Saccharomyces cerevisiae S288C: one gene and its partner. The protein of the gene in region 2 interacts with the protein of the main gene of each other region in a biochemical or structural test. Each region holds a gene or a part of one and is shown on either strand. Other genes may lie near its edges.

Evidence for each region. The genes of interacting proteins can lie anywhere in the genome.
Region 1: the proteins of BUL2 (region 2) and BMH2 form a complex in vitro, tested with the Saccharomyces cerevisiae proteins (one study listed by BioGRID).

What each region holds. Positions count from the first base shown.
Region 1 is NC_001136.10:651,692-655,284, reverse strand, and holds BMH2 (14-3-3 family protein BMH2), read right to left. Parts: upstream 1,679-3,593; coding exon 857-1,678; downstream 1-856. Other genes in the region: TVP15 (Tvp15p), read right to left, coding at 1-272.
Region 2 is NC_001145.3:44,434-50,204, reverse strand, and holds BUL2 (ubiquitin-ubiquitin ligase BUL2), read right to left. Parts: upstream 3,264-5,771; coding exon 501-3,263; downstream 1-500. Other genes in the region: COQ5 (2-hexaprenyl-6-methoxy-1,4-benzoquinone methyltransferase), read left to right, coding at 1-174; CTK3 (Ctk3p), read right to left, coding at 4,252-5,142; DAT1 (Dat1p), read right to left, coding at 5,414-5,771. UniProt on the Saccharomyces cerevisiae protein: Component of a RSP5 ubiquitin ligase complex which specifies polyubiquitination and intracellular trafficking of the general amino acid permease GAP1 as well as other permeases such as PMA1.

The DNA of each region.
Region 1 (3,593 bases), on a different chromosome or scaffold from region 2:
ATACCGCCGAAGCTGATTATCAGACTTAGTAAAATATAAGATAAACCCCTTCCAAGAAAACTAAAGTAAAAGGAAGCATACCTGTAAAGATTTGACGGAACCTTGAACTCCAGATAGACGATAGGTACGGAGAGTGCCAGTCCGTAAACTGCCAAGAGGAAGACGTTTAAATTGGTGAAAATATACGTCAATTGTGAAAGGGCAGCAATAATGTCTATGCAGCCAATTGATATATTTGCAATCTTGAAGAATTTTGGAGGAATAACTGACATCCTTTCGTTTGTGATCCCTTGTGGTTATTTGACTTTGTTTATTGTCCTCTCTTGTAAGACATACATATTAATGGTCATAGTTTTCCACTCGAAGTATTTTTCCGTTGCGGATTTACGCTACTATACCCCCGCCCCCCTACACCCAGGGAGCGCTGTTTCATCAAATGAGAAAAGATGCCTTCACCTTCAATAGGTAAGGTAGATCAAGATTCAAAGGAAAACAGAAGAAAGAGGTGCGTATACAATGGAAGGAACTTATTTTAAAACATACGAAAATTACTACTCAATTACTCTCGCAAATTGTCTCAACTCTGAACGATAGCCAAAATATAAGAATACACGAAGAAAACAGTGATAGAAGTAATAGTAACAGAAAAACTATTTTATGTTATATATTAAGAAACTATTTTTTTAGAGGTTTGTATATTTTGTAGTTGGTAAAATTGAAAATTTTGTGAATTTGTATTAGACGAAGATATTATCTCTTCCCCTAAAAAAAGTATCAAAATCGAATTGCATTCATTTTCGTTAGCAAGAAAACTGGAGTGGTAAATCTTCATTTCCCCTTGTATTTCTCAGCGCTCTTATTTGGTTGGTTCACCTTGAGTTTGTTCAGCTGGAGCTTGTTGTTGCTGTTGTTGCTGTTGCTGTTGCTGTTGTTGTTGTTGTTGTTGATCTTCTTGACCAGATTCAGAAATATCAGAGGTCCATAAGGTCAAGTTGTCCCTTAATAATTGCATGATCAAAGTGCTATCCTTGTATGATTCTTCAGATAAAGTATCTAACTCAGCAATAGCATCATCAAAGGCTTGTTTGGCCAAGTGGCAAGCCTTATCAGGAGAGTTTTGAATTTCGTAATAGAAGACGGAGAAATTCAAAGCTAGACCTAAACGAATTGGGTGAGTTGGAGGCAATTCAGTTGTGGCGATTTCGGAAGCGGTTTTATAAGCCTCCAAAGAGGAGTTGGTTGCCTTTTCTCTTGCATCTCCGCTGGAAAATTCAGCTAAATAACGGTGGTAGTCACCCTTCATCTTATAGTAAAATACTTTAGACTCACCAGTAGTAGCAGAAGGGATTAAATGAGAATCTAACACAGATAAAATGTCGTCAGAGATTTTGGTCAATTCAGTTTCAATTTTAGAACGGTAAGAACGGATTAATTCAACTTGATGTTCAGATTTCTCCTTTGATTCTTCTTTTTGTTCGATCGAAGAAACTATTCTCCATGAAGCACGGCGAGCACCGATGACGTTCTTGTAAGCAACCGACAATAGATTCCGTTCTTCGACAGATAACTCTTGACCTGATGAAGCAACGGCCTTCATGTTTTCGACCATTTCTTCATAACGTTCGGCTTGTTCAGCTAATTTAGCTAGGTAAACAGAATCTTCACGAGTTTGGGACATTTTTTTTGTTGTAACGGGTACTTTTTGTTGATTTGATAATTTTTCTTTTTACTTCGTTTTGAAATTGTCAGAGTATTAACCTTCTGTCCAAGTTTTCTCGTTCTTTGCTTTTCCCCCTTAATCAATCGAAAAAAATAATGATTAAAAACCGGGAGAGGCAATTTTTTTTGAAAAAATAAGTTAGTAATTGAAATTTGATAAAAAGAACGAATGTTTAAGATAGCTCAAAAGATTTCGTAACCTTTGATGATGAATATTTGAAAAAAAAAAGACTACTGGAGGGACTTATAATAACATTTGCCCCTTTCGACCGACTTTTTCCTCGTATTTCGTGTGTGTCATTTTGCTGATCCGGGTGACACACTACTAATCATTTCGAGCAGACGACCGATTTGTCCGTTCTTCCTAAACAAAAAAGGGACGATTTCAATAGTATTCGCTGTATTATTATCTCTGGTCATATGAATACCCACGCTTGAATTACGGATTGGTCGTAACAAAAATAAGTGTTACCTCGCTGTTCTGACAGAGATAACTAAACATTTCAGAATGCAACATCACACGGGTGGACCTATGTTCTAGTTCTTGTATTAGAAGAAAGCAATCCGCTGTGCTTAAACCAATATAAGATATATATAAAAAAAAGAAAGTGGGAAAAACAAAGGAAGAGAAACTATAACACTTCACTTTCAAGGCCTGTTAAGTTGATATAATTAACATTTTCAGGAGAGTAACATTCATGTCGGTAATAATTCAAATCAGAGAAGATGAAGGTGGTTGTGGAAGGAGCTATTAATGAAACAAGTTATTGAGAGGTAAAACATACGGTTCGATTCAAATATGAATTCTTAAATTTGAAGGTGGTGTGGAAAAGAATGCAATTGATCGCGCTAATTTCAAAAGATAATATTAAGTAGAAATGAGGGAAGAAGCTGAAGCGAAAGATATATAAGTCATCAATATATATAAACAGGGACTTTGTTTATGAGCTCATGTTATAAATACAGATAAGACAGAATTGAGAAAGAGGAGAAAGAGCGATCTATGCGATTCGCCCCCGAATCTTCTCGTCACGGAAGACCGTGCATTTTCTACGGCAGCGGCTATGGTGTAATTGTCATTAACAACGGAGAGTGTTTGAGCGGCTAATTTTCGGTATTCCAAGAGACAAATTTGATTTGTACGAGGTATATGAACGATGCTCACTATATGTTGGAACTTTTGAAACATCTTTGTCTATTTCTCACAGAAATTGATGCTGTGTTACTTCGTTTCATGATTTTTCGGAAAGATACTGTGTAAGGTTATCATATATGAAGCGATACGTGCTGACCATAAAGCAGTACTTCAATAAAACGTTTTCCGAAAAAATGTAGTGTTGGAATGAAATCTTAGTGTCATTTTTTGACTAGTGTTCATGCTAATAATATTTTTTTAATGCAGTCTTTCAGTCTTCTGTTATGTAGTTTTTGTCATGATTAGAACAATTTATTCCTCGAAGACCTTATTCTTCTCATTGATGTTGCCATACACTATGTGTGCCATCTGGAGATTTTTATTAGCTCGTTATGTGAATGACTATTTACTTTACAGAACGATAATGGCGCGCTCATTGTATTAAGACTCCTATAACCTATAGAGTACTATTTTATATTATTGCTATATTATCAAATGAGGTATAAGAAGATTATACAACAATTGAAAAACAGTCATTAGACTTAATGAGAGCTGAATTGCATAGCTAGATAATGTAATAGGATAATGAAGCATGTAAAATAGAAGGAGAAATAATAGCAATATTATGCAGAAATACCGATTCCCTATTTTGGATCCCAAGATCCTCGAAGAAAAACCTCTAGTATATTCTGTATACCTAATATTATTGCGTTTACCAACAGTGGAATCCCAACAATTA
Region 2 (5,771 bases):
GGCTCGATGATTGCTAATGACTACGACTCTTACCAGTATTTGGTGGAGTCTATCGAAAGATTTCCTGACCAAGAAACGTTCAAATCCATGATTGAGAAGGCAGGATTCAAATCTGCTGGCTACGAAAGTTTAACTTTTGGTATATGTGCCATCCATTGGGGCATTAAAGTTTAAAGTAAATAGAACAAATTTCCTTTTTTTTTTGTCAAGAAAATCGAAGCTAGTAAAACATGCCTATACTATTTCTGTCTCTCTTCTTCTTTAGTAATACCTGTGCCATGTGATAGCCATATATTTTGCTGTGATGTGCAGAATTCGTATATACTAGGGGGAAATAGAACGAAAGAAAGAAAGAAAAAAAAAAAAAGAAATAAGTGACTGTACATAATATAATAATATTAATGATATTAATAGTAATAGGTATATTAAATGGTTAAAAAATAGTCCTGCTTTTATCAATTATTTGTAAAACTGCGAGATTACTGTTAGTGTTGTATGGTCTAAATTTGTAACTTTTTCACATCAACCGGAATATCAACTTTCATAGAACCCAAGTGGTTATCAAATTTGATGTTTACTCGAACACAATAAAATCTACAACACAAACACGTTTCAAGATTGGGCACTAACGTTTCTTTAATGTTGGGGTTGAGCTTCAAATTAACTGTAACATCCCTCTTATACTGTAATGGCTTAACTTTTTCCCATTCATGCACAATTTGCTGAGTAAACTTAGTAGCGGTGGATGCACCATTGCTAAATGTTGCTTGTAAGAAATTATTATTACTGGATGACGCGGAAGGAGGATTGGAACTTCCTTTCTTCGAAATAATATCCTCGTTTTCTTCTTCAAAAGTATGTATTTGCTTTTTGAAGATATCATGTAAATCAATAATGTTAACTTTTAATCCAGCTAAACTGTCAATATCATTGTTTATTTGATCAGATATGAAATTTGTGAACAAAAGCTCTTTTGGAGTGAAATGATCTCTATTTCTATTATAAAGCTCGTTTAGCTTCGCATGGTTTTCTTCAAATTTTTTACGATATTCATGAACTTTTTTCTGATACGTCAAAAATTTTGTCTTTAGTTTGTTTAATCTATTCTCATTCATCAACAGTTCAGTGCAGAATTTGATAGGAATCGAATTATCAGACTTTGCTGTGATGACCACAAATTCTGTCGTTACAGAGCTTATTTCTGGCGGCTTATGTCCTGCACTATTATTAGATTGGATACAAGTCAAATGTACATCTAACTTGGTCAGTGGGGTTTTCACTCCTTCTGGAAGCATGCCCATTAACCTTTGCCAGTTTTCCTTTTCTTGTTCACTCTTTGCTTCAAATTTGTTGGTTTTTCTCAACAATGATGGTGACCAATAAGGTAATGTAGATTGCGGTTTTTTAACTGATAATACAATCAATCCGGAATTATATACATGTGGACCAGTTGAAGATGACCCCGTTTCTGATGAACTCAAAAAATGAGAAAATAAACTTGAATTTGATTTATTCTTATTTTTAAACTTATAGCGTAACTCAGTCTCGACTAGGTTTTCCTTTGGAGCCATATTTTTGGAGTCATAGGATGGTGATTGGCTGGCGGTATCATCAATCCTGTTATTGATGTGCAGTTGATCTAGCTTACGTCTTAATATCTCATCGGAATCCAAATCTTCATTACCGTCCAAAGTCCCGCTTATATCTGTGTCATGAATATCTACATTCGAAATGGCCTCATTTAATTCCAGTTTCTTGAAAATCTTGTTCAAAGCTTCAAATCTATCTTCAATCAAGCTTTCCAAATTTTTCAGTTGTCTCAAACACGTTTTCTCGTTTTGTTGATTAGTGACACCAGCAAAGGGGAAGGGCATAACTCTCAAGTTATATTCTTTTTCTTTCATAATATTCAGCTTAGATGTTCTTTTATCTTTACCGACAATTTTGGCATCAATTGTATAATTTATTGATAAATTATCATCTGCCATGTCAAGTGTCAGAATGGGTGAACCTTTTGTACCTAAATGCCCACAGCCAAGGACACTATTTACTTTTATGCCAGAGTATTTACAATTATTTTTATACTTGTCGATACCAAAGCTGGGAGGCAGAAGGCAGTGTGAGAATTGCTCTTGTTTGCAAGTCACGTCCAATAACTGTGTAGGAAGCTTGAACATGAAGAATTTCTTATACTTTGTGTTCGGCTTCAATTCTCTGCTGTTTGAAAGACCAATGATGGCATCGTCAAAATCCCTTTCACCGGGGACAATATTAATACCCGTACTTGGGGTTATGTTTGTATAAGACCAAGATGCGCTCAAATCGACCATTCTTAAAAATCTCTTTAACGTTCTTTTCCCTTTCTGACGGTCAATTACAGATATGTACGCTTCTAAAGTGACATAAAACATTTCAAATTTCAGTGGTTGAGAGGACCGATTTTCAATTAAACAATAACCATGAATAATATCACCCGAGGTGTATTCCTTCAATATTGACTGTTCCTCAGGACGCTCATGAGGTATTGATGCAGTTTTCGTTATTCTTATATCAATTTCGATAGGAGTGGATAACTTGGGTAAGGTGTATAACTTGTCTATAAAAATGTTATCCGAGTCGTTTAGATCATCTTCGAACGGTATTTGACTGATATTGGTGTCTGATGAAGAATGGAGCGACTGTCCACCACTTCTTGTACTGTTTATTGTAAGATGTTGTGTTTGTAGAGGATGTAGGTTGGTAAGAGAATGGGCAGTCGCATTATTACATGCGTTTTCGGATCCTGGCACTGCTGTCAATTGTGACCTTTCCACGGAATTATCATTGCTGGGCAATATAGTCATTCTTTGAGTGCGAACTTCTTGATAAGAAGGGGGGAAATCATGTCTATCGGGATCAACGTTTCCTTGAGGTATGTGTCTGTGCAAGGCATTATACATCTCAAAAGATGGTAGGACATCCACTAGCATATTTGCTCTATGAGATAATCTTGACTGTGTGCAGTCCATTTCCAGTGAATTTTCCTCTCGTTCTTGTCGTAAACGGTCTAAATTGGTTGTTGAAGCGCTGCGTATGTCATCGTCCTGGCTGTCACTTGCACGTGGAGTCTGCCCACTATTTGGATGCAGCGAATTATCTGTAGAATTACTTGACAGCTGCTGTTGACGCCGCTTCCTCAATAGATGAATGTTATCTTCCGTAGAAACTGATTTTAAAGGAGGTCTCCCATTTTTCCTTGATGAAGTGGAGAATGTAAAAGTCATTAATACTTCTTTTGTTCCCCAGAATATATCTCAAATCTGCTGCTTCAGTTGCAAAGTCCTTGGCCAAAACGGGTAAGAAGTTGAGATTCTTGTCGAGAAATCCTACAGAAACAGAAATCAATTATTGGTAAGTTATGCACAAAATGATAATTGCAATATTTGCTTTACGCATATCTGTTGGACGATTTCAGAAATTTTTCTTAATTGGTAACGGCAGATAAAAAATAAAAATCACCAAAAGAGAAATGCAAAGAGCCTAGACTACCAGGAACAGGGCGAGCAATGGCGGGGCGACTATAAATATACGAACAGGAAAAGGCGAAAAACCGGTGCCGTATATACATAAAAAAATGATAACGCTTCAACGTGCAAAGGAACCGTCACACATTTTTGATGTGAAAGAAGTAATATTCTTGGCACTTTTCTATCGTGGACCTCTCTGTGAACGAATGCTCTTCCTCTGCTCAGTCCTTTCCAGCTTGTAACTAGACAAATTCCCCGCGGTTCTTTATGATCTTTAAGCTCGAACCACAAGGCAACAATGAACCTTCTCAAATTTTAAATTCGCTTATGTAGCAACCATATCAGCCCGAATGTAAATTCATTTGTGTAGAAATGCGGCGTAAAACCATCGAATGAAGGGAGTAGTCTAACATGGTATTTTCCTTGGCTTGTTTTAAGTCTCGTCAAACTCCTCTTTTGTGTGTTTTCAGCAATAGGCTACGGCCAGGTCCACAGAAATTGACTGTTTTATACTCAACAACACACTCTGCAAACCGTGTTAAGTTTATTCGTCTGCACATGTTGAGGACTACAATAAAAGTAACTTAGAGGAAAATTAGCCGCCGTTTCACCTTGAATAGTTTGCTTTTCCTGAAATCGAGATAAGAAAAAGACAAGTTCATTTTGTACGCGCATTGATACGTATATACGTATATATAATACAGATACGGATTCTCTTCACAGATATATATATAACGTCATGGTACTAATATATGTAAGATGCCTTCGCAATGTCATTTAAAGCCTTGATATTTTTGTAATCGTCCTTATCAAATCCGGAATCAGTAGTTTCAAAATGCGTCCACAAGCTTTTAAATTCGGATTCATCCAGTATATCGTTGGAGGGCCTTTCGATGTACCAACTTGTCTCTTTCGACCTCTTGTGCAGTTCCCTGTCTGCTTCCATCCTGTGCAACAAAATGTTTGCATTGGTTGGCTGCGTCTGTAAGTCCGGGTTGATCGCAGTTGTATCGGAATTGAACTGCTGAAAGAAAGCCAATTTCTTCAAGTCTCTGTCCTTAAGCAGAGACTCCGTTCGTTGCAATGATTCTTTATAGTCCTTTGTAGTCCTCTCTGTCTTGACACTGTACCAGGTAGTAGCGTCTATGAGTGTGGTGTCTGATGGTGTGTGCGTGACGCTGGTGGCGTCGTAATGGATTAGTTTGGATAAGTCAAGGAATAGCTCTTTACAGGTGGCTTGATTCGTGAGGGATTTCCAGTCCTGGCAGGGCAGACAAAGCTCAAAAACCAAGTCTATGTCCATGAGTAGCACTTCGTTTAACACTTTTGTAACATTGGTATTGGAATGGCTATGCGGATATAAGTTTCTTATTATTCTAACATAGTATATCACTACGTCCAGTCTATCTAGTGGGTCCATCTTCATGGTTGTATCGAACAAACATTGGTGGAAGTCCTCGTAGTGATGTCTGTAGTTTCTCAAGTAGAACTGTATAGGGTCATTGTTCAGCTTTTGTTGCGATGACGGTGGTGTGGTGGTCGACGATGATGTGATAGAGTCTCTGGTCTTGTGCAGCGTCTTTTGCAGGTTCTTCAGGACCTGAATGAATTGTAATCTAGCTTCAAGAGAGTCCATCCTTGCTGTATACCTTTACCTGGCAGTGCTTTTGTGAGAAATTAACTACCATCTGGTATTCTTTTTCCTTTTCTTTCTAAAATTCTAGTTTTTCATGTTGTGCTTAATTAGGAAAAACAGTGAATTTGAACAGTTGCTGAAGTTGAGATCAGTCTTAAATATACATTGCTCAAAGAAGTACAAATACATATAAATATAAATATCTATGGTTTTCTCAACTAGTTATTATGTGGCATATACGAATGTTTTAGTGGTATGCTGGAAATGAATGTCATATGGTTGCGTTTTTCTCTGTAGAATCGGAATTCTTAGTGATATGTGCTGCCGGCGATGGTTGCGTCCGTGGCTGATTTGATGCTGCTGTGCTTGTGGACAGATCAAGATATGGTTTCACAATGAAAGGCCGCTGTAAGTAGTTGTAGGGCCCCATCAGGAAAGAAGATGACGGGTCTTGATTGCTCCCATTTATAGTAAAGTTCATGTTCACGTTCACGTTGCTGTTAAGGTTGTGGTTTGAATTATGATTAATGCTGTGGTCGGCGTTGTAATTTGAATTCACGTGGCCGCCAGAGTTTCCCGTTGAAGATAACAGGATCTTGTGGGTGATGAACGGCTTGGGCGGAACGACG